Astyanax mexicanus: one gene and its partner. The protein of the gene in region 1 purifies or fractionates together with the protein of each later gene. This does not show direct contact. Links are inferred from orthologs where the notes say so. Each region holds a gene or a part of one and is shown on either strand. Other genes may lie near its edges. The genes, in order: ptpro and dnajb11.

What was found.
Region 2: the proteins of ptpro (region 1) and dnajb11 purify together in Homo sapiens (affinity purification with mass spectrometry; 3 studies listed by BioGRID and IntAct, with this or other methods). This does not show direct contact. The link is inferred for Astyanax mexicanus from reciprocal best matches to the Homo sapiens genes PTPRO and DNAJB11.

The regions. Positions count from the first base shown.
Region 1 is NC_064409.1:31,043,022-31,052,608, forward strand, and holds the start of ptpro (receptor-type tyrosine-protein phosphatase O), read right to left. Parts: upstream 4,741-9,587; 5' UTR 4,480-4,740; coding exon 4,345-4,479; intron 1-4,344.
Region 2 is NC_064418.1:3,061,541-3,071,856, forward strand, and holds the start of dnajb11 (dnaJ homolog subfamily B member 11), read left to right. Parts: upstream 1-5,610; 5' UTR 5,611-5,692; coding exon 5,693-5,766; intron 5,767-6,220; coding exon 6,221-6,377; intron 6,378-7,342; coding exon 7,343-7,440; intron 7,441-7,737; coding exon 7,738-7,870; intron 7,871-8,334; coding exon 8,335-8,477; intron 8,478-8,577; coding exon 8,578-8,660; intron 8,661-8,779; coding exon 8,780-8,837; intron 8,838-9,170; coding exon 9,171-9,282; intron 9,283-9,905; coding exon 9,906-10,065; intron 10,066-10,191; coding exon 10,192-10,256; 3' UTR 10,257-10,316. Other genes in the region: rabl3 (rab-like protein 3), read right to left, coding at 92-148, 819-857, 1,925-1,996, 2,172-2,322, 3,035-3,149, 3,391-3,520, 4,125-4,216, 4,468-4,513. UniProt on the Homo sapiens protein: As a co-chaperone for HSPA5 it is required for proper folding, trafficking or degradation of proteins.

The DNA of each region.
Region 1 (9,587 bases):
TTTCAGCGCAGCTGATGCTGCGAATATCCTTAAACAGTTTTAGTCCTGCCCTTTTTCATTTCGTCTAAAAATAATTTAAATACTGAAAATATCAAGTGTTAATTTGATTTTATTTACTTAGATTTTCGTTTCTGAAGAAGAGACGTCAGTTATTTTATACTAGAGCTTATAGATAGGGCTTGCCTTGCATAGTCAGGGCGCATTCCAAATGCACTCCTGCCATCAACGCTAAGCATAGTTTCGTTTGGAGAGAAATGCTACAACACCGATGCAGTTGAAATTCTATTCTTTTTCAGTAAATGAAGCAACATCACAGATTACTAATCATGAGAGAAAATATAGACTTTGGGACACTGGATTGTAAAAATGGATGCCTTACCCGTTGAAAGTCTTGCTCACTCTTGAAACCTTGCGCTGCGTTCCAAGTAGCTGCCCGCAGATGTGCCGGATTAAAATCGGCGCGGCCAAATAAGAAAATCGGCCGATGCCGATTGATAAAAAAATAACAAAAATCGGCCGATTAAATCGGCTGGCCGATCGATCGGTCGGCCTCTAATTAAAACCATGTTAAGCCACTAATATTGTGATATTATAAAAGCATTACAGTTTATTAAGAATATTCACACATTGGAATTGGAATATGTTTTTTAAAATATATATCCTAAATAAATAAAACAATTATCATAAAATATTTTTAAACAAAGTCGATATACCTGCTTATTTACATTAATAGGCAATGCTGAGGTCAACTAAATGTATTATTCTTTAGAACTGCTCATATTTTTTATTGAAAGATAAGTGCAATTATTGTGACAAAACTAGCTGACCCCAAGTGCAACACAGTTATCAACACAGCAATACAGGCTATCAAACCCCAGCCAATTTCTATAATATTTTTTGGGCTGGTTCTTTTTTGCAGTCATACTGAAACTCCATATTCAGTTCCCTTTTTTTCTTTTCAGTCATCACACTGTTTAATGTCCAGCCAGCAGCTCATTTTTTACCTAAAACAAATTTGGATGTTTCTGACTCTATAGCTGACTTATATTGAGGCAGCTCATTCGAAAGCACACACACTGGATTTCAAATGTTGTGTAGGTGTGTATGTTTGTATACTGGCTGCATATCTCAAACTGGTCAATACAACAATTATCTTTTGATTAAAACAGAATTATAATCAAAAGATGACCTTATTTTCAAAAATCATACAGTTAAAGATATCACATTCCTTTAGAAAAGAGCCTAAAGCAGAAGTACAATAAAGTATAATTCTGTGAGATTCCAAGGCTGTACTGCATGCACTGCTAATTTAAGATCTATCCACAGATTTTTGACTATGATTAAATTGGAGGGCTGTGAGGATTGTGGCAGTTTCTTCAGCTTGCACCTCTTGAGGCAGTCTATTATGGATTTGAAGGTGTGTTCAGTATGATTACTCTGTCATAGAAGAATTCCTCTCAGTATCTTAATTTTTTTACACATAATATGAATTTTGCTTCCAGAAATAGCTGTTATTTTACTGATTCCGACTTTCCTCTGCCAGTGGAATGTTCCCTGCTCTACTGTCTGCATCTTTTTTCATGAAATTTGGTAACCTGCTGTTATATTTGTGCATGTCTTTTGAAGTCAAATGGTCACTTTGCCTTGTTAGCATTTCTTAACCCATTTTACTTTAAATATGTATTCTATTATTACTATTATGCTTGAAAGATTATAAATCTACATTCAAAGCAATGCAAACTGTTAAAACAACCGAGAACCACCAGTGGTTCCAATGAATTAGGTTAATTCCATTACAAATCGAAGAAAGGGCTACCTGAAAACCCTTGCTATCTACTTATAGATTTCTACTGCTTTGTGAGCATCACTTATTTTAATTTTCAGAGATATGGATAGCTGCTTACAGACTTCATGACTGCAGATTGTTGAGAAAAGTTTTGAGGAGTCTTTTAACTTTAAGACTTTTGTAGATCCATTTCTCTTAAACTTGCTTTACTTGCTATTGTGACAACTCTTCATTGTTTGTCCAAAACAAGAGTATTAGAAGAGTTTATGGCTCTCTTGTTAGAGTGACTATCTCTACTTTTAACTACATTTTGGAGCATTGCTGTGAGAGAATGTTGATCAGATTCAGTGATTTGACAAGAGCTTTAGAGAGGTCAGGATGTTGAATGATTACGACACCACCTCATCCCTACTCCCCAACTCATCCTGAAAGTATTGGATGTAACTCCATTCCTCCAAAGAACACAGTTTCACTGGTCCACAGATCAATGCAGGGGGCTTTAACAACCCTCAAGCCCACAGGAGCTGAATGAATTTATTAGAAGGAGTGTCCACAAACATTTTGATATACAGCTCTGAAAAAAAATAAGAGACCACTTAAAAATTATTTTCTTTGATTCTACCAAATAAAATAAAAAAGCTGGAATATAATCAAAAGGAAGATGGATGATCACAAGCTGAACTGCTTGGATTTTTTCACCAGGAGTGGAATAAAGTTATCCAAAAGCAATGTCTAAGACTGGTGGAGGACACATGCCAAGATGCATGAAAACTGTATAGAGGGGTTGGACAATGAAACTAAACACTTGGTTTTAGACCACAATAATTTATTGTCCAGACGGACAATTCTGGTGGAAACAGGAGAGTTGAGGTGCACATTGAATTCTGCCGTGATTTGATCAGACGTGGTTTTATGTTTTTTGGATACAATCCGGGTTAGCACCCGAACATTCCTTTCAGACAGCTTCCTCTTGCATCCACAGTTAATCCTGTTGGATGTGGTTCGTCCTTCTTAGTGGTATGCTGACACTACCCTGGATACCGTGGCTCTTGATACATCAAAAAGACTTGCTGTCTTGGTCACACCTGCACCAGCAAGAAGTGCACCAACAATTTGTCCTCTTTTGAACTCTGGTATGTCACCCATAATGTTGTGTGAATTGCAATATTTTGAGCAAAACTGTGCTCACCCTGCTAATTGAACCTTCAGACTCTGCTCTTACTGGTGCAATGTGCAATTAATGAAGATTGGCTACCAGGCTGATCCAATTAACCATGAAACCTCCCACAAGTAGCTATTGAGCTGATGTGAGCCTTTTACATATTACAAAATGATAAACAAAATTCAATATCAGTTAATATACAGCTCTGGAAAAAAATCATTTTATCTGATTTTGCTATTCATAGGTATATGTTTGAGTAAAAGTAACATTGTTGTTTCATTCTATAAACTACAGACATTTTTCCCAAATTCCAAATAAAAATATTGTCATTTAGAGCATTTATGTGCAGAAAATGAAAAATGAAATGACAAAAAAGAAAATTCCGGTGGAATAACCTTGGATTTTACTCACAGTTTTCATGCATTTTGGTTTAATGGCTGTGATCATCTAGCTCCCTCTTGACTATATTCCAGATGTTCTCAAATTGGTAAAACCAAAGAAACTCATCATTTTAAGTGGACTTTTATTTTTCCAGAGCTGTATTTTAAGAAGATAAAGTGAATATTTATTACACATAATAATAAATATGTCCTGTCCTATATTTTACCCTCCTAAATTCCTCTTTGTTTAATCTTTTATCTGACATAAATTGAAAGCACTGACGGTGTCAATGTGAATAACAGAACACTTAATCTGAACCAGTAAATTAATCTGAACCAGAGTTTGATTGAAATGTGTTTAAAACCCGATTTAAACTGATGAGTTATTTGAGCTCGGGCTCAGTGAGCACTGCAGCACAGTGAGCTGTGTTGTTCTGTTGTGTGTAAAATGTGTGCTGGGCCTTTTTTAATCTCTGCAGCTGAAGCAGTTCAGTAAACAGTGAGCTGGACAGCATCTTTCTCAGGGTTCAGAGCTGAGGCTGCTAAGCAGCTGATAAAGAAATGCTCCCAAATAAAAAACATTTACAGCCTGGCTCTGCTCTGCCGCTTCCAGACTGCTCTCAGATCCCCAGACCGGCGCTGGACTCTGCAGTGGCAGGAGCAGATCCTCAGGCACAGAGCTTCAGCTGGAATGACCCAATTTTGCCTCAAGAAACATCAGCCTATGGGGAGCCGCACGGAGAGAGGCAAATACGATCAGCTCCAGAGCTCCGGAGCGGCGGCTGGAGATGGAGGAGATGGAGAAGAAGCGGTCGATTTCGCTTCGGGGAGGATTAATTAAGAAGATAAGCGAGTTTAATAATAATAAGGGATGTGGAGTGAACCGCCTGCCCGCTGCTGCTGCTGCCGCTGATGGTGAAGTAGGCAGACAGGGCATATGGCTCCCCCTCCTCCCCCACACTGTATCAGAAAGGGGGTGGGGGGTAATATCGCTGGGGTAAAAGACTGTATCCTACCTGGATGCTGAGGAGGAGGAGGAGAAGGAGGGCATGAGTCGGTGCTGCAGTCATCCTCGCTCCGCTCTGCGTCCAAACGCTGTTCCTCTGCTGCTGCTGCTGCTGCTGCTGCTCGATTCCCCGCGCCGCGCACATCCGAACAATGGCGAATTTTCTGCAGCATCAGACCGCTCGCTCCCCCGACCCCGGTGGTCCTCCAGCGCTAACCCCCACCACCGCCGCCGCCTCCGCGCGGTCTGCCCGACGCCCTTACGGCTCCCTCTGACTGTGTACCGCCGCTGAACAGCTCCTACATCCGTCCATGTGCTTCTTCTGGGTCCGACCGAGGAGGCAGCTCCAACCACGGACCACCAGCTTCAGGAGAGCAGACGGGCTGAATGGCTTTCTCTGTCTGCCCCTCTCTCTCTCTCTCTTTCTCTCTCACAAACACACACACACACACACACACACATTCACATACACATACACACTGACTCTCTCTCTCTCTCTCTCTCTCTCTCTCTCTCTCTCGCTCTCCTCCAGGCCCCGCCCTTCTCGCTGATTGGCAGGAGGGCGGCTAGAGACGGGAATGTCGATTCAGTACAGCTGAACCGATTCTATAGAACAGCTCGCTTAAATAAAACGGATCGAAACTGTTCGAACCATAACGTTTAAACGTCCCATATGATCAACTTTTAAACACATGTTTGTTAATTATACAGTAATTAAGGTTCGTTTGGCCTTATATACAGAACCAGTCAAAACTTTAGACACACCTCTTTCCAGTCTACGTCTTTTTTCCCTTTTTATAATTTAAAAAATGTTTTATAACATTTTATTCTAAAATATAGAAATAAAGAAAAACATTGAATGAGAAGGAGAACTTTTGACTGGTAAAAATACATAACCATTTTAACCTTTTCATTCATCTTTTTCTTATAGACTTATAGACTGCTGTGGTACGCTCTCTTTGAGCGTGATATATGTGAATTAGCTGTGCTGCATTTCATTTGTCTTAAAAAAACTGTAAAAACATTTTTTTACAACTACAGCATCTTAAAAACTACAAGATGAACTAAATACGCATTATTAAATGAACGTAAATATGCGGGGCTAGCTATCAGTTTAGACTGTTTTTAAATAAACTTAGGGTTGTGCAATGTGCAATTAATGAAGATTGGCCACCAGGCTGCTCCAATTAGCCATGAAACCTCCCACACGATATTAGTGCTAAAAAAGAAAACACTGAAAGTAGCTATCACTTGATCATCAGTCAAGTCACCATTTTAATTTAACACTGCACAGAGTATGAGTGTAACTGTAAACTGAAAATATTCCACTATCTCAGTGTGTTTCGCTGTGATTAAGTAAAAGGGTGAAGGGTTGTTATTAGAGGTGTGTTACACGTGGACAGCGTGTGGACAAAGCAAGAAAGATGGATTCAGTCATCCGATTCATCGTAAAGAATCGGTTCAATAGAAAGATTCGTTCAGAAGCCGGACCTCCAGAGTGAGGGGAGGAGAAATGGTGGTGGGGGAGGTTTAGTGGGACAGAGGGTCGACCACATGCTTTTCTTCTCGTGGCTAAAGGCTAACTCAGGCTGTGTGTTTTCAGGTTTCTTTTACTTGTACAAATCTACAGCTCCATGTTGATAAAATCGCGGAGAAGAGTAAAGAGAAACAGAGAGCAGGAGCCGTGTATTACTTTCAGCACCATGCTGCTTCACTAACTCAACATAATAGCTCATCTCAGCGCCTACACGATACAAGGCATATTCAGCCGAATCGGTGCTGTTTCTGTCCTCAGGAAATTACATATATACATGTGCACACAAAATAACTTATATATACATTTTTTAATTAATCACAGTGTCTTGTTCACTGACCTGGTTGCAAAAGTGAGATATGTAATTAAAAAAATAACAACTAAGTTAAATAGCATTTGTTACACAGAAAAAATAGCATTTGTTACCTGTCTGCACTCTCTAACTAAACCAAGAAATATAATTGTAAAAATCTTTCAGATGTATTTTTTTGCATTGTTGTGTGACTGCAATTTTTTTCATGATAAATCCATAATATTTAAGTTAAAATACACATTTAAGTTGTGTCCCTGGGTTTTCACTCCTGTTACCATAACACATTACCCCATCTGAAACATCTGGAACATTCTATAAGTCACATCTACAACAGGAAGTTACATCAGTAGGTTCTTTTGAAGATCATGGGAAGACCAAAATTAGGTTCTCTCATTTGTTTTGCTGTATATTTAATATTATTGTAACTATGACTGAGGATGTCTCAATGTTCTGTCCTGTTACCTCCATTAATTCTTAGATCTTATTTATTTGTTTATTTTTAAAATAAAAATTTGGGGGAAATCACTAGAATGTGCTCAGTGTCCTCATGATATTAGCATAGCCGTCATTTAGCTGTTTTTCATGTTTTTGCTAATTCTATGCTAAAAACTTAGTCCTGTTACTTTCAGTCCTGTTACTCTTTATGTTTTGAGTAACGAGACGGAAAGTAACAGGAGTGAGTTTGAGTAACAGGAATAAGTGCCAGTAACATGAGTGAGTGCCAGTAACAGGACTGCGTGCCAGTAACAGGAGTGAGTTTCAGTAACAGTAGTGGGTACTGTCCCTTGGTTTATGCATTTATTAATGTAAATATTAGCTAGTGTAAACCGCTTCTTTCCAATTCTGTTTGGTTCATCATTCATTCATCTGTTTAATAAATTGCACAATAAATATAATAATAATAATAATAATAATAATAATAATAATAATAATAATAATAATAATAATAATAATAATAATAATTTGATTAAATTCAGGGTTGGGTCTTCTTGATAAGATAAAAATAGCTTTGCATATTTTAGAAGAAATACATAAAAAGTGATTATTTTCTCATAAATATCAATTATTTGAACATGCAGTCAACCATTTCTTTAAATTAAATACTTATTTGAGAAAAAATAAATGGAATTGATGTTTTTAAATGTCACATGAGTTTTGTAACCATATTTGGCTTAAAAACCTTGTTAAAATTAAGTAAAGCTGCCTGACATTGACCAGTACATATTTTGCATAGTTAAATATGTGTTATTAGATAAAAACAATTAGGTTAAGTTAAATTAAGTTACAGCAAGCAAATGGCACCCATTTGGTAAAATTGACCAAAAACAGTAAAAATATATTGGCCAGAGACACACCTAGAGAGCATCTGTTTTTGTCAACTTCACATTCAAACCAGTATTTGTGTATTAGTAGCCTCCCCTGAGCTTTACTGTTCACATCTTTACTGATCTTTGGCTCGTGAAAAACATTATCACTTAAAACTTAAAATTTTTAAGTAATGTTTACTGAAAACGTAGGCTAAAAAAATTCTAAATGATTATATAAAAAATATAAATTGCTTTACACAATAATTCTACTTTAACTTTTGTGGTTAGGTAAATAAAATAGATTTGTATCAAGTATTTTTTTATTTCATTGAACTAAAACAAAGATAAATACTCAGAAAATTAGATGGAGAAAGAAAATGCTATAGAGTGAACAGCGTTGCACACACGAGTTAGCAGCTCGGAAAATAAGACTTGCAAAAAGAACAAAAAGGCAAAGTAGTCAATAGTACAGACTAAACTCAGTAATTATAAGTTGATTCAACTCAAACATTGGAATGTATATGTGGCCACAAAGGTTCACCTAACTAAAAGAAGTTGAGTAAGGATTGGAAATATCCAATTTACATAAAACAGAATTCATTTATTTGAGTTCAAACTAATTGTGGGTTTACAGTGTATAGGCAGATAAACAGTAAATCAAATACCTTATGCATAAGAAAGAGTATAAAAATGAGTGTCGATGTAAAAATGTGTTAAAATAGAACATTTACATAATATAAAATTTGCTATGTGCAGATCTGAGGAAGCATACAATATATGATTATTAACAACATATTTACCACTATTTACCACTTAGTTCTGCAAATAAATGGGAAACATATTACAGTGTCCAGAAAATGCCATATTTAAATTTGACCTATTCTCAGGTTGTTGCATATGACCCTTTTTAAACAATAATGCAGGTTTGTTTTGTAATGATTGGGTTCTGAGAAGTGATCAGTTACATCATGTTATAATACAAGAAAATATTGTGATTGGATTCATGACACAAAACTAGTAATGAGAATCACATTCTATATTTTTGTAGCTTCAAAAATGAGTGGCTTTTAGTAAGATCTGAAAACCATGAAAAGGGTGATTGCATGTATGTGTACGTATGTACATAATGTGCACAATTTAAAACATTTAAAGTTTTTAAAAGTCACATTTTAATTCTAAAAACTCACCAGTGATCCCATGCTTAAATACATCACTTACATTTTAGTTTCATACTAGTTACTGAATAATTTATTACAGTTACTGAATAAGAAGCCTTAAAGTGAATAATTAAATAATATTCCTGCAGAGTAGAGCTCACTTAAATATCTTCACTGAGCTCATTTTTTCTATATTGAGTATCAAATATTGATGTTTTAACTTCAGACATTTTCTCAGTTCAGGGTCATATTTAGATTGATTTGTGGGGGCACACCCTGGACTAAAGTGTATCTAAATGCATAATCTTACCGCCACTTCCTCTATGCACTGCTAATGGACAGAATGCTTGAATGTGCATTAAAAGTGTCTAGGATTTAGATTTATGTGGGATCAAAACCAGCCTCTGGTTGACTTTTTGTGCTTTTTTGTAAAATCCAGTCAAAAATAATCCAGTCAAAATAGTATTAGAATTATGGCATACTGTTTGACACAAGTTGAAAACAAAATCCTTGGGTTCACAGCGTGCATTTACAGATTTCTACAGCATTTGCTCTACTCTTCTGTAAGTGTTTGATTCGGATTGCAGTACAAAATATAATTTTTAAATTATCAGATAAGTAGCATGACTGATAATGAGAGAATTTCCACTTGAAATTGTTCCTAATTCTAGTGTATTGTCTTGTAATTTCTATAGAGGTTAAGAACATGATAACAGAATTATGAAATGAGTAATAGCTATAGGTTTCTTGGTATCCCTACAACCAATGATCCAATGAGGTCCTCAACGCATCACACCAAAACAGGGCCCAACTACAACTTCACTTTCAGTCAGTCAGTCAGTCAGTCAGACAGTCAGACAAAACAGCACATGTGCAACTGTAACAGGTTCATGGAGGAGCCCATTCTAACTAGCTGCATTACACTGTAGTACAGCAGCACAA
Region 2 (10,316 bases), on another chromosome or scaffold:
AGACGTACATGCAGTCGTGAGAAACGCGTTTGTAGCAGAGATAGTAGTAACCAGAACAAAAACCACAAGCCGCTGCAGTGTTTATCCGCGTTCAGTCGTAGTGAAGACTCTTGAAGTTAAAGCGCTTTCTGTCTGTGAAGCCCGTCAACTACAGAAAAGAAAGGAAAAGTTAATAAACAAGTAAGAAATTATGTAAAGCAAGAAAGTAAAAAACAACACATGAAAGAACAGTGGGAAAACCGGGGTTCATACTACACTTTTTAACCAATAAATTGCTTTTTTTTTTTTTTTTTTCAGGACTGTTTCATGTCTTCAAGGCAAAATTTCATGACCATACGACCTTTAGAACATCAGTTCAGACATAGACAATAAAAAAAAAAAAAAAAAAACTGAAACTATAATGATAAAAAATATTCTTTAAGCAATGATGACACAATTTTCAATAATAAAATTAATAAAATATTACTAACTTCATAATATTATTAATAAAATAGCTTTTCTCCGTTGATAAATGATAACACAATTGTAGATTGCAAATTTCCATGAGTATTTTTAATTTTCCCAAACTTCTTCAGGCCTGAAAATTGCTATTTTTAAATTTAATGAGCGTAGAAACCCTGAAAAACACACTGCTAATAGTGACTAAACTAAAATTAAATCAGAATAAAAAAAAAATACTTTTTTTCAAAAATAAAAAAAACAACGTTGTTGAAATGAGTAAAAAAAAGAGTTGAAGTGCTGCATTTGTGACCACAGTTTGCACAGGCCATGCAGCATCAAAGCCACAATCAGAACTATAAACAGGGTGGTTTTCTCACCTGGCTGGGGTCTCTGGTGAAGTATCTCTTCTCGATAACCTTTTAATCAGAAAGATAAAAGAACAAAATCAACCAAACCTTCACTTCTGAAGAAGTGAAAGAGAATTGACCACAAGGGTTTTTCATCATAATCTGCTAAAAGATCTACTAAATCTGCCGAATGTGGTCAAGTTCCTATTATTACTCATTTCTAAGAAATGTCTACACAACAGAATCTTTCACTCTACATAGCTGCACCTCCCCAACTACTTCTATTATAAGAGTTCTGAGAAGATATTTGCCTGTAAGCTACAGATGTATAAAAAAATCATAATACAATTTATAATTATTCAGCATTAAGCATTAAATACAGTTTAATACAGAAAAAGTATGTAAACCCTTTGGCATTACCTTAGAGATCTGCATAGCCTAGGGGTTCACATACTTTTCCCCCCCCCACTCACTGTGAATGTTAAAATGTTGCGTCAATAAAACCATGCAAACATATATATATATATATATATATATATATATATATATATATATATATATATATATATATATATATATATATATATATATATTTTTTTTTTTTTGTGTGTGGTTTTAGTTTAAGCAGACAATGTTTGTCTATTGTTGTGACTTAGATGAAAATCAGAACACATTTAATGACCAATGTATGCAAAAATCCGAGTATTCACAAAGGGTTTACATATTTTTTTTCTTGCATCTGTATATTTATTGCTAGTATCAGCTCATTAAACAACATTCTGCCGATCAATTCTTCAAATTTAGAAAAAAATTGAATATATGGACAAAAGTATTGGGACACCTGGTCAATCACTGGTCAATCTCTTCTGAAATTAGGGTGAATAAAAGGAGTTAATACTGTTTATACTGAAGTAACTGTCACTACTAATGTTAGGCTTGGTGCTGCTAAAAGGTTCACATTCATCTGCAAACAACCACTGCAACTATGGTAGATTATATTCCAGTACATACTAATATTATGAAGCATTAGAAGAAGTAAAGAGAATAAACAGTAAAGATGTTTGATTATTAATTAGTTTGATAAATAAATTAAAATCCAAAGCTGTTTTCTATGTATCTATATAGAAGTATCTTACTTTGTCAAAAAATCTGCTCAGTTTCACAGCATTAGATGAGCCAGCAGCAAAATAACGTGGATTTGTGGAGTCCTAAAGGTATAAATAGAAGAAAAAAAACAGTATCATTAATAGATAATCAGAAATTACTATTCAAATAGAGATGAAAGTGTAAGAAATACATTTTATTATTCTTTTTTTACAAGGTAGAACATTTTACATTGTGAAGAGCTAATTAACATAATTCTTATACATTATAATCACATACCAGGTTGATCTCCTCTGCGTTGAAGTCTTCAGACAGGAAGGCGGTGCGGGTCAGAACATCACTGCGCTTGTTTTCAGGTATCTGATCATATTTGGTGCCGATAATCAGGAGAGGAATGGGGTTCTCTGCAAACTGCTCTCTGTCATAATCCCTGTGTGATCACATAATAAATAAATAAAACAAGGCATAACATTTATTCTTAGGTAATCATCCTGCAGTATTTTTCTCTAAAGTGTGGATTTTTGCATCAAAACAGGCCCAAACTCAGTCCTTCTTAACTACCCTTCAGAACGGTGCCATGTACATGGCAGAGGGAGTGGGGGAGAAACCAAACACAGATTAAATGAAATCAAGTGTTGAGCATGACTTACTACACCTTATATCAGATTACAAAGTGTAACGTAGGTGTTATAAAATGGCCAGTTAGTATACTAAGTGTTTTAAACCACAGCGGCACATGTTGTGTTTGATACACTTAACACTTACTACACCACCACCAAATATCACATGGTCAATGGGGGCATAAGATGTAAGTATTAAGTAAATATCTAATAAAATTACAGAACAGTGCAGTCACTGTCACGCGATTTTACTAGATTTAAGACAAAGCAAATTGAAACTGTCATTTTTAAATGTTAAAAGTAATTTTGGATTATTTCTCTGTGTCCATACATTACAAAGAATTATGTAACAAAGTGAAGGGAACTAAAACACTGCCACATCATGCTTCTAAATGTGCACTAAAACTTCTACATTAGAATTTCTGTTCCCAGACATGTTATACATACATTACAAGCCTAAACACTGAGTTATTCACACAGATAATCATTTCAGCCTTTACACCTAAACTGATAGTGTCTTACCCATTGGACACGATCACCCCTGTAGGCGACGAGTCTTTGTTTAGTGCCTCCATCGACCAGCGATACAGGTTCTGGGAGGATTTCTTATTGGTCAGGTCATGGACTAGAATTATGCCTGAGGAAAAAAAAAACGACATTCCCATATTTTACCAGCGATATTAAAGAATACAGGCATTTTCACTAGAGGTGGCCACAACTCAATGACCCAACATGACACAATATTACTAACAATACACAATGTATATCCAGTAAGTAATAAAGTAAAGTAAAGTAATAAAGAAAACATTAAATGAGAAGAGGTGCATCCAAAATGTTGTATATCTGCACTCTCCAGTGCTTCATTTTTGTTACTTTACCATTAACTGAATTGTAGAAAACCGCTCTGGTACTTTTGACACTACTGGCACTTCCAACTGAACCTCCAACATCCCACAGTTCAATGTAATAGGTCTTCTCCTCTGGCGTGCCCTCTTTATAGTCGTGAACCTGCAGGGTGAGGTTAGTATAAATTTAATCTGTATGATCAATTTTAAATCAGTATTTTCTAACTGTGGAAAAAATTAAGAGACCACTTCAATTTCTAAATTAGTTTCTCTGATTTGGCTATTTTTAGGTTTATGTTTAAGTAAAATGAACATTGTTGTTTTATTCTATAAACTACACACAACATTTCTCCCAAATTCCAAATGAAAATATTGTTATTTAGAGCATTTATTTACAGAAAATGAGAAATGGCTGAAATAAAAAAAAAGATGCTGAGCTTTCAGACCTCAAATAATGCAAAGAAAAAAGTTAATATTCATAAAGTTTTAAGAGTTCAGAAATCCATATTTCTGAATATCAATATGTCAGGTTCTCCTCCACCAGTCTTACACACTGCTTTTGGAGAACTTTATGCTGCTTTACTCCTGGTGCAAAAATTCAAGCAGTTCTGTTTGGTTTGATCTTGTGCCCATCCATCTTCCTCTTGATTATATTCCAGAGGTTTTCAATTTGATAAAAATCAAAGAAACTCTAATTTTTAACTAATTTTTAAGTGATCTCATTATTTTTTATGAGCTGTATAAGTTAACCAAGTTGTCAACCTTACCCTGACGTCCACAGAGCAGCCTACTGTCCATGAAGGATTTCCCAGCACTTGATTTTGACACACCAGATGAACTAAAGAAGATTTCCCAACGCCTATAACCAAACAGTAAGATTAAAGCCGATGTAAATTGGCGAATAAACAATTAATTAAACATTTTAACTCCCTGCCAGAGCTAGCTAAACATTAGCTAGGTTGGCTTGTCAACCTGCAAGTGTTTACTCAGTGCTAGCTTAAAGTATCACTAGAGCAGTTTAAAAGAGCCGACAGATTAAAAACAAGACATAAAACACGGCGTGAATCATATATAAACAATTATAGTGTAACATTAACAGCTGTGTCTCACCAGAATCTCCCAACACCAGCACTTTTACTCTGTCCAGAGAAGCCATTATTAGCTAGCGTTAGCTAACCTTACCTAGCTACTGTCTGTCACTAGCGACGCCGAGAAAGCACACAGCACTACTTCCTGTTAGAAAATCAGGCAAAATAAAAGTCGAATTACCTCAGCATAAGATAAAAAAAAATATTAATTCCACTAATACTAACTTTATTTATTTATTACTTTGCAAACATAACCCAGAGTGCAGCTCAAATTGCAAACAAATGTTACCTTTCATTTTGAAAAAAAAGAAATAAAAGAAAACGTTAAATAAAATAAACATATTTTATTTAAAATAAACAGTTCAAAATTTTTTTTTATTTTTATTTTTTTAACTTAATGTTAATAATCTACTTGTTATTAGAATACTTACGAATATTTTTACTGTGACGTATATCTTGATAAAAAAAAAACACTGGAATATAATCAAGAGGAAGATCACAACTGAACTGCTTGACTTTTTTTTCTTTTCAGCAGGAGTGGCACAACATCACCCAAAAGCTGTGTGAAAAACAGGTGGAGGAGAACATGCAAAGATGATTAAAAATAAGGGTTATTCCACCAAATATTGATTGATTTCTGAACTGTTTCTGAGTTAAAACATTAGTAATATTGTATTTTTATACATATGACCTTGATTTTTTTTTTCATTGTTTGAGATTGTACGAAACTACTGCATATTTTCTGTTGTTTTGCAAATAAATGTTCTAAACGACAATATTGAAATGTTATCAGTTGTTTATACAATAAAAGAACAATATTCATGTTACTTAAAGATATAGTTAGGAATTGTCAAATCAGAGAAACTTATCATTTTTTAATTTCATTGAATTTCATGTCATTCTTTTTATTTTTTCTTTACCGGAGCTTTATTTATAATTATTTTGAAATGTTCTTGGAGACTTTGATTTTTCTATTTTATTATATTTTTTACTTCATAGTAATAATCAAATTGTTATGAAAATAGCGTTATATAGCTAGTATTATATATATACTTTCTGTGTAATTGCATATTTAAACCGTTAATTTGAAATGCCTGGCCTTTAAGGGACTTTTATTTTTTCTTTCTTTGCAGCCGGTAAGAAAATTGGGGGCGTGTCTTTCTCCTAGAACAGGAAGCGGTCACTGCACTACACAACACACAGAAAGCCGGTGTGTTTTACTGCGCTTCGGGATTAAAGCGAGACCTATGGCCGCGGGAGGGATGAAACTATCGAGTATATGCTGTCTGCTCTTATATTTAGTAGCGACAGTACTGGCTGGGTAGGTGGCAGCGCTGTTTTCTCTGTGTATTTAGTTTCTCCGCTGTGTGAAGCGGGTCTCTGGGCTGGTACACATGTTCTTCTGTGATTGGTCTGCGCCGCTCCACTCTCTGGAGCTACATGTGTGCTGTAGTGGAGGGCTATCAAATGTACCTATTTAACTACGCAGAGGGACGTTTGTCTTGATTTAAGAATAAAATAAATAACCTTAATGCTGTAGCTGTATTTAGATTATCGTTAGGTATTTGGAGAGGTTACATATAAAACTGATAACCTAGATAAGATACACCATCTGTATTTAGCCATTGTCTCTCATTCTTTCAAATTTCTTAGATTTTCTTTTTTTACTGGATAGAAGTCACAATGATCGCCTTATAATTAAAATTATACAGCTAGCTTATTATATAACCTAAATTCCTAATCACACTTTTGTTGCAAATATTTTATCCATTCAGGAGGGATTTCTACAAGATTCTTGGGGTTAGCAAATCAGCATCTATCAAAGACATCAAGAAAGCCTACAGAAAGTTGGCACTTCAGCTTCATCCTGACCGAAACCCTGATGACCCCAGTGCCCAGGACAAATTTGCAGATCTCGGAGCTGCTTATGAGGTGTGTTGTTGGTCTCTGTTTCTATTTCCACACACAGCTGAAAAGCTGGAAGTGTGATTTTTAATATAAATTATACTGTTTATTATTATTTATTAGCTTAATATAAAGTTCTTCAAATTTGAGCAGCTAAACATGTGTATATATATATAAAAAATTTTTTTATTTGTTTGTTTGTTTGTGTGTCACTGTAATATAATATCCAAGGCTTTAGCTGTATGTATGACAGGCATCATTTCAGTGTTGGGGAAACCACGGATGAATCTGATTGGTGGAGTGAAATGTGTGGCTACGTCTGATTGGTCAAAAGTCAGCTGACTGGTAGTATTGAAAACACGACGTGGAGCTGCTCTGGCGGTAGATTAGTTAACAGTTGCAGTTTTCTCAGGCGCTTTTGATTCATTTTTCAGATAAAAATAAGGTTCTCAAAACTAAAAAAAAAAGCACAGGAAGTAATAAATGGTTGTGTTGGTAGATTATTCCTATTATTTCTTTGTTTTAATCATGCTTCATGAAAATAAATCCAAATATACTAATATGCTCTCAAATACATTAACCCCTGTTTTCTTCTATCTTCTGTGTTTTTGCGCTTTTTTGCACAAATTGAGATATGTTCTCTATCAGAATAGACATTTGTCAAACAATCAAACAGCAGATTAGCACCGCCCACAAAAATAGACAGCACAATACAGTGTTACAGTTTCTGACAATTTCTGTATCGCAGTGACACGGCTAATCAAATTACAGTACAAATAATACAGCATAATTTTTAACTGTGTACAGACAGTAAGCCTTTTTCTTGCTCAGCACTGATCTCTCCAATCATTAAAGGAACATCAGAAGGCAATTAAACTAATCAGGAACAGATTGAAACCAGATTAGGTTAAAGCCACTGTCCTCTTTATTGTCTTGATGAATTATTATATTCTGATACCACTTAATGAATGACTTGTGTAATCTGAACTCAGGTGCTGTCAGACGAGGAGAAAAGGAAACAGTATGATGCCTATGGAGAGGAGGGTCTGAAGGAAGGTCATCATAGCTCGCATGGTGATATCTTTTCCAGGTAAGTGTCCAAGCAATATTATATTATTAAAGGGGTGACATTTTTTAAATTCCCTTTTATTTTAGTACATGCGGTTAAACTGCACATGTATTTATTGTGTAACAGAAAGTTAGAGACCTACCTGGCTGTTCTAGACAGCTTTAGGAAGAGCTCAGCTATAGTACTTTTTTTTTTAATGAGGATATAGTGTATGTGTTCATACAGTTGTCCAGTAGTATTACACTGCACTTTTTTGCCCCCACTGTCACTATGTATATGACTATCATGACACTCACATTTCTTCTATGTTTGTTGCAGCTTCTTTGGGGACTTTGGGTTTATGTTTGGAGGAAACAGGCAGCAGCAGGACCGGAACATCCCAAGAGGAAATGACATTATCCTGGACCTGGAAGTTACACTGGAGGAGGTTTATTCTGGAAATTTTGTTGAGGTAAGATAACCACTAATTCTCTGGTCTTAATAATTCCATAACTCCTTAATAAAGTGTTTTATATAAATATGTTTTATATAAATATGTTTTAAATTAAATCGTATTCTTATTTGAGCTGTGCAAAACATCACAGTAATCTGTTATTTACCACCATATTACCACCATATATATTTCACTGATTAGTTACAGACTACAGCTACTCGATGCTTACCATTATGTGCCAATTTGGCAACCCGCATGAGTTTCACATCTGGGGAGGAGTGGGTAGGGCAGAAATCTCTACCCAGTGTTTGGAAATTGGACTTCTGTAACAATTTTACACACTCACTTGCATTTATAACTGATTTTTCCTTTAATACATTTCGTGTCATATCCTCTGGTTCAGCATGGGAAGGATGCTGTTCTTCCTTGTTTCTTATTGTCACATATTTCCTCTCTTCACATTTCCCTCTTTTACTATGTAGGTAGTGCGAAACAAGCCAATTGCTAAAGAGGCACCAGGAAAAAGGAAATGCAACTGTCGCCAGGAAATGAGAACTACACAGCTCGGGCCAGGCCGCTTCCAGATGACCCAGGAAGTAGTCTGTGATGAATGCCCAAACATTAAGTAAGTTCTGCTTCCACTTTCCTCAAATAATAATGATGTAACTTGCTAATAGATGATAAATGGTGCGCACATGTTTACAGTGTGTTTTTACTCTTTGCAGGCTTGTGAATGAAGAGAGGACACTAGAGGTGGAGATTGAGCAGGGAGTCAGAGATGAGATGGAATATCCCTTCATTGGTGAAGGTATTTTAACCGCAGTGAAACTAATGATTTTATTATACAAAGTTCTAGAATGCAGGTATTGGTATGTGGTTAAAAATATATCTGAGAACAGCAATATATGTTTGGTCATTTGTGTGCAGGGGAGCCACACATTGACGGAGAGCCTGGAGATCTCCGCTTCCGTATCAAAGTCTTAAAGTAAGGATTGGTTATTTCAGTTAATTTTTTTATGATAATGACTGGATCAATTTATTACTAGCAACTATTGAAACATTCCATGTCAGTGAAAACTGAATTTAAATAGAATCATTTATGCCTTTTGGGCTCACTAGGTTTGTATGTAGTTTGGATTGCACTGTATTGCATGCATGAGTGTGGGGTTTCCTGCATTGAATAGGGATCAGATTTTTTTGCTAGAGGGGGTTGTCTGTACCTAGAACTTAGGGGACTGTAAAAGAAAGGTTTACCAATAATTGCTGAAGAGTGGGAAATCTTAATGCATCTACTTATTCAATATCTTTTTCTCTGCAGACATCCGCTGTTTGAGCGCAGAGGTGATGACCTGTACACTAACGTCACCATCAGTCTGGTTGAGGCTCTGGTTGGATTTGAAATGCAGATCACGCATTTAGACGGTCACAAGGCAAGTATTATTATCTCTATTTTAGCTCATCCCATGTTTAAGTTTTCTGACATTTTTAAGTTTATTATTTAAATCAAGGCGCAGAAATTTAGTTTTGTGTGCAGGCCAGATATTTTCCAAGCGGGCCACAAAAAAAAAAAAGAAAAATGAAGTGTAATGAAATGTAATGGGATAAAGTCATACAGACTAGTAGCTCTTCAGCCCAGAGGGTTGTTGAACCCAATTGCAGAACAGTTGATCTCAAAGCAGGTAAACCGAAGAAGAAAAGGAAAAAAAAAAAAACACAGCTCCTCAAGCTGGATTGGACCTATGTCATTAGGGTCGAGGTCCAATACACCACCGCTGCCCCGGCTAGTGAATTGAGACACAACCAGAAAAAACACCCCCAAAAAGGGGCAGAAAAACGAGAATGTGTGGAAACTACAGTCACACCGAGCGAGACAGAGAGACAGGGGAGGGATGTGAACAAAAGCTCACCAGAGAGGCATTTTATTTTATTTATTTATTTATTTATTTATTTATTTTCATTATCGTTCATTTATAGTTAAAACAAACTCACAGGCAAACTGTTTCATGCTTGCCTATTGCAGACCCCTGATTTACATCATACTGTTGTGTTGCAGGTTCATATCGCCAGGGATAAAATCACCAAACCTGGATCCAGATTGTGGAAGAAGGGTGAAGGGCTTCCCAACTTTGACAACAACAATATCCGCGGATCACTTATAATAACATTTGATGTGGATTTCCCCAAGGAACAGCTTGATGATCAGCAGAAAGATGGTACGAGAAGAGCAGGTTTTATTTGTGTAGATTCTGAAATAATTAATTTTTCTATTTACTGCAGTTTATTTAATGAATATCTGTATTAATGAATATCTTTCTTGTTGTTTTTTTTTCTGCATGCAGGTATAAAGCAGCTGTTGAAGCAGGCTCCAGCTCAGAAGGTTTATAATGGCTTGCAGGGATACTGACACACCATCCAGTGAATTTCGGACTAAATTGAACTGCCCCGTTCCGTAACACACCACATG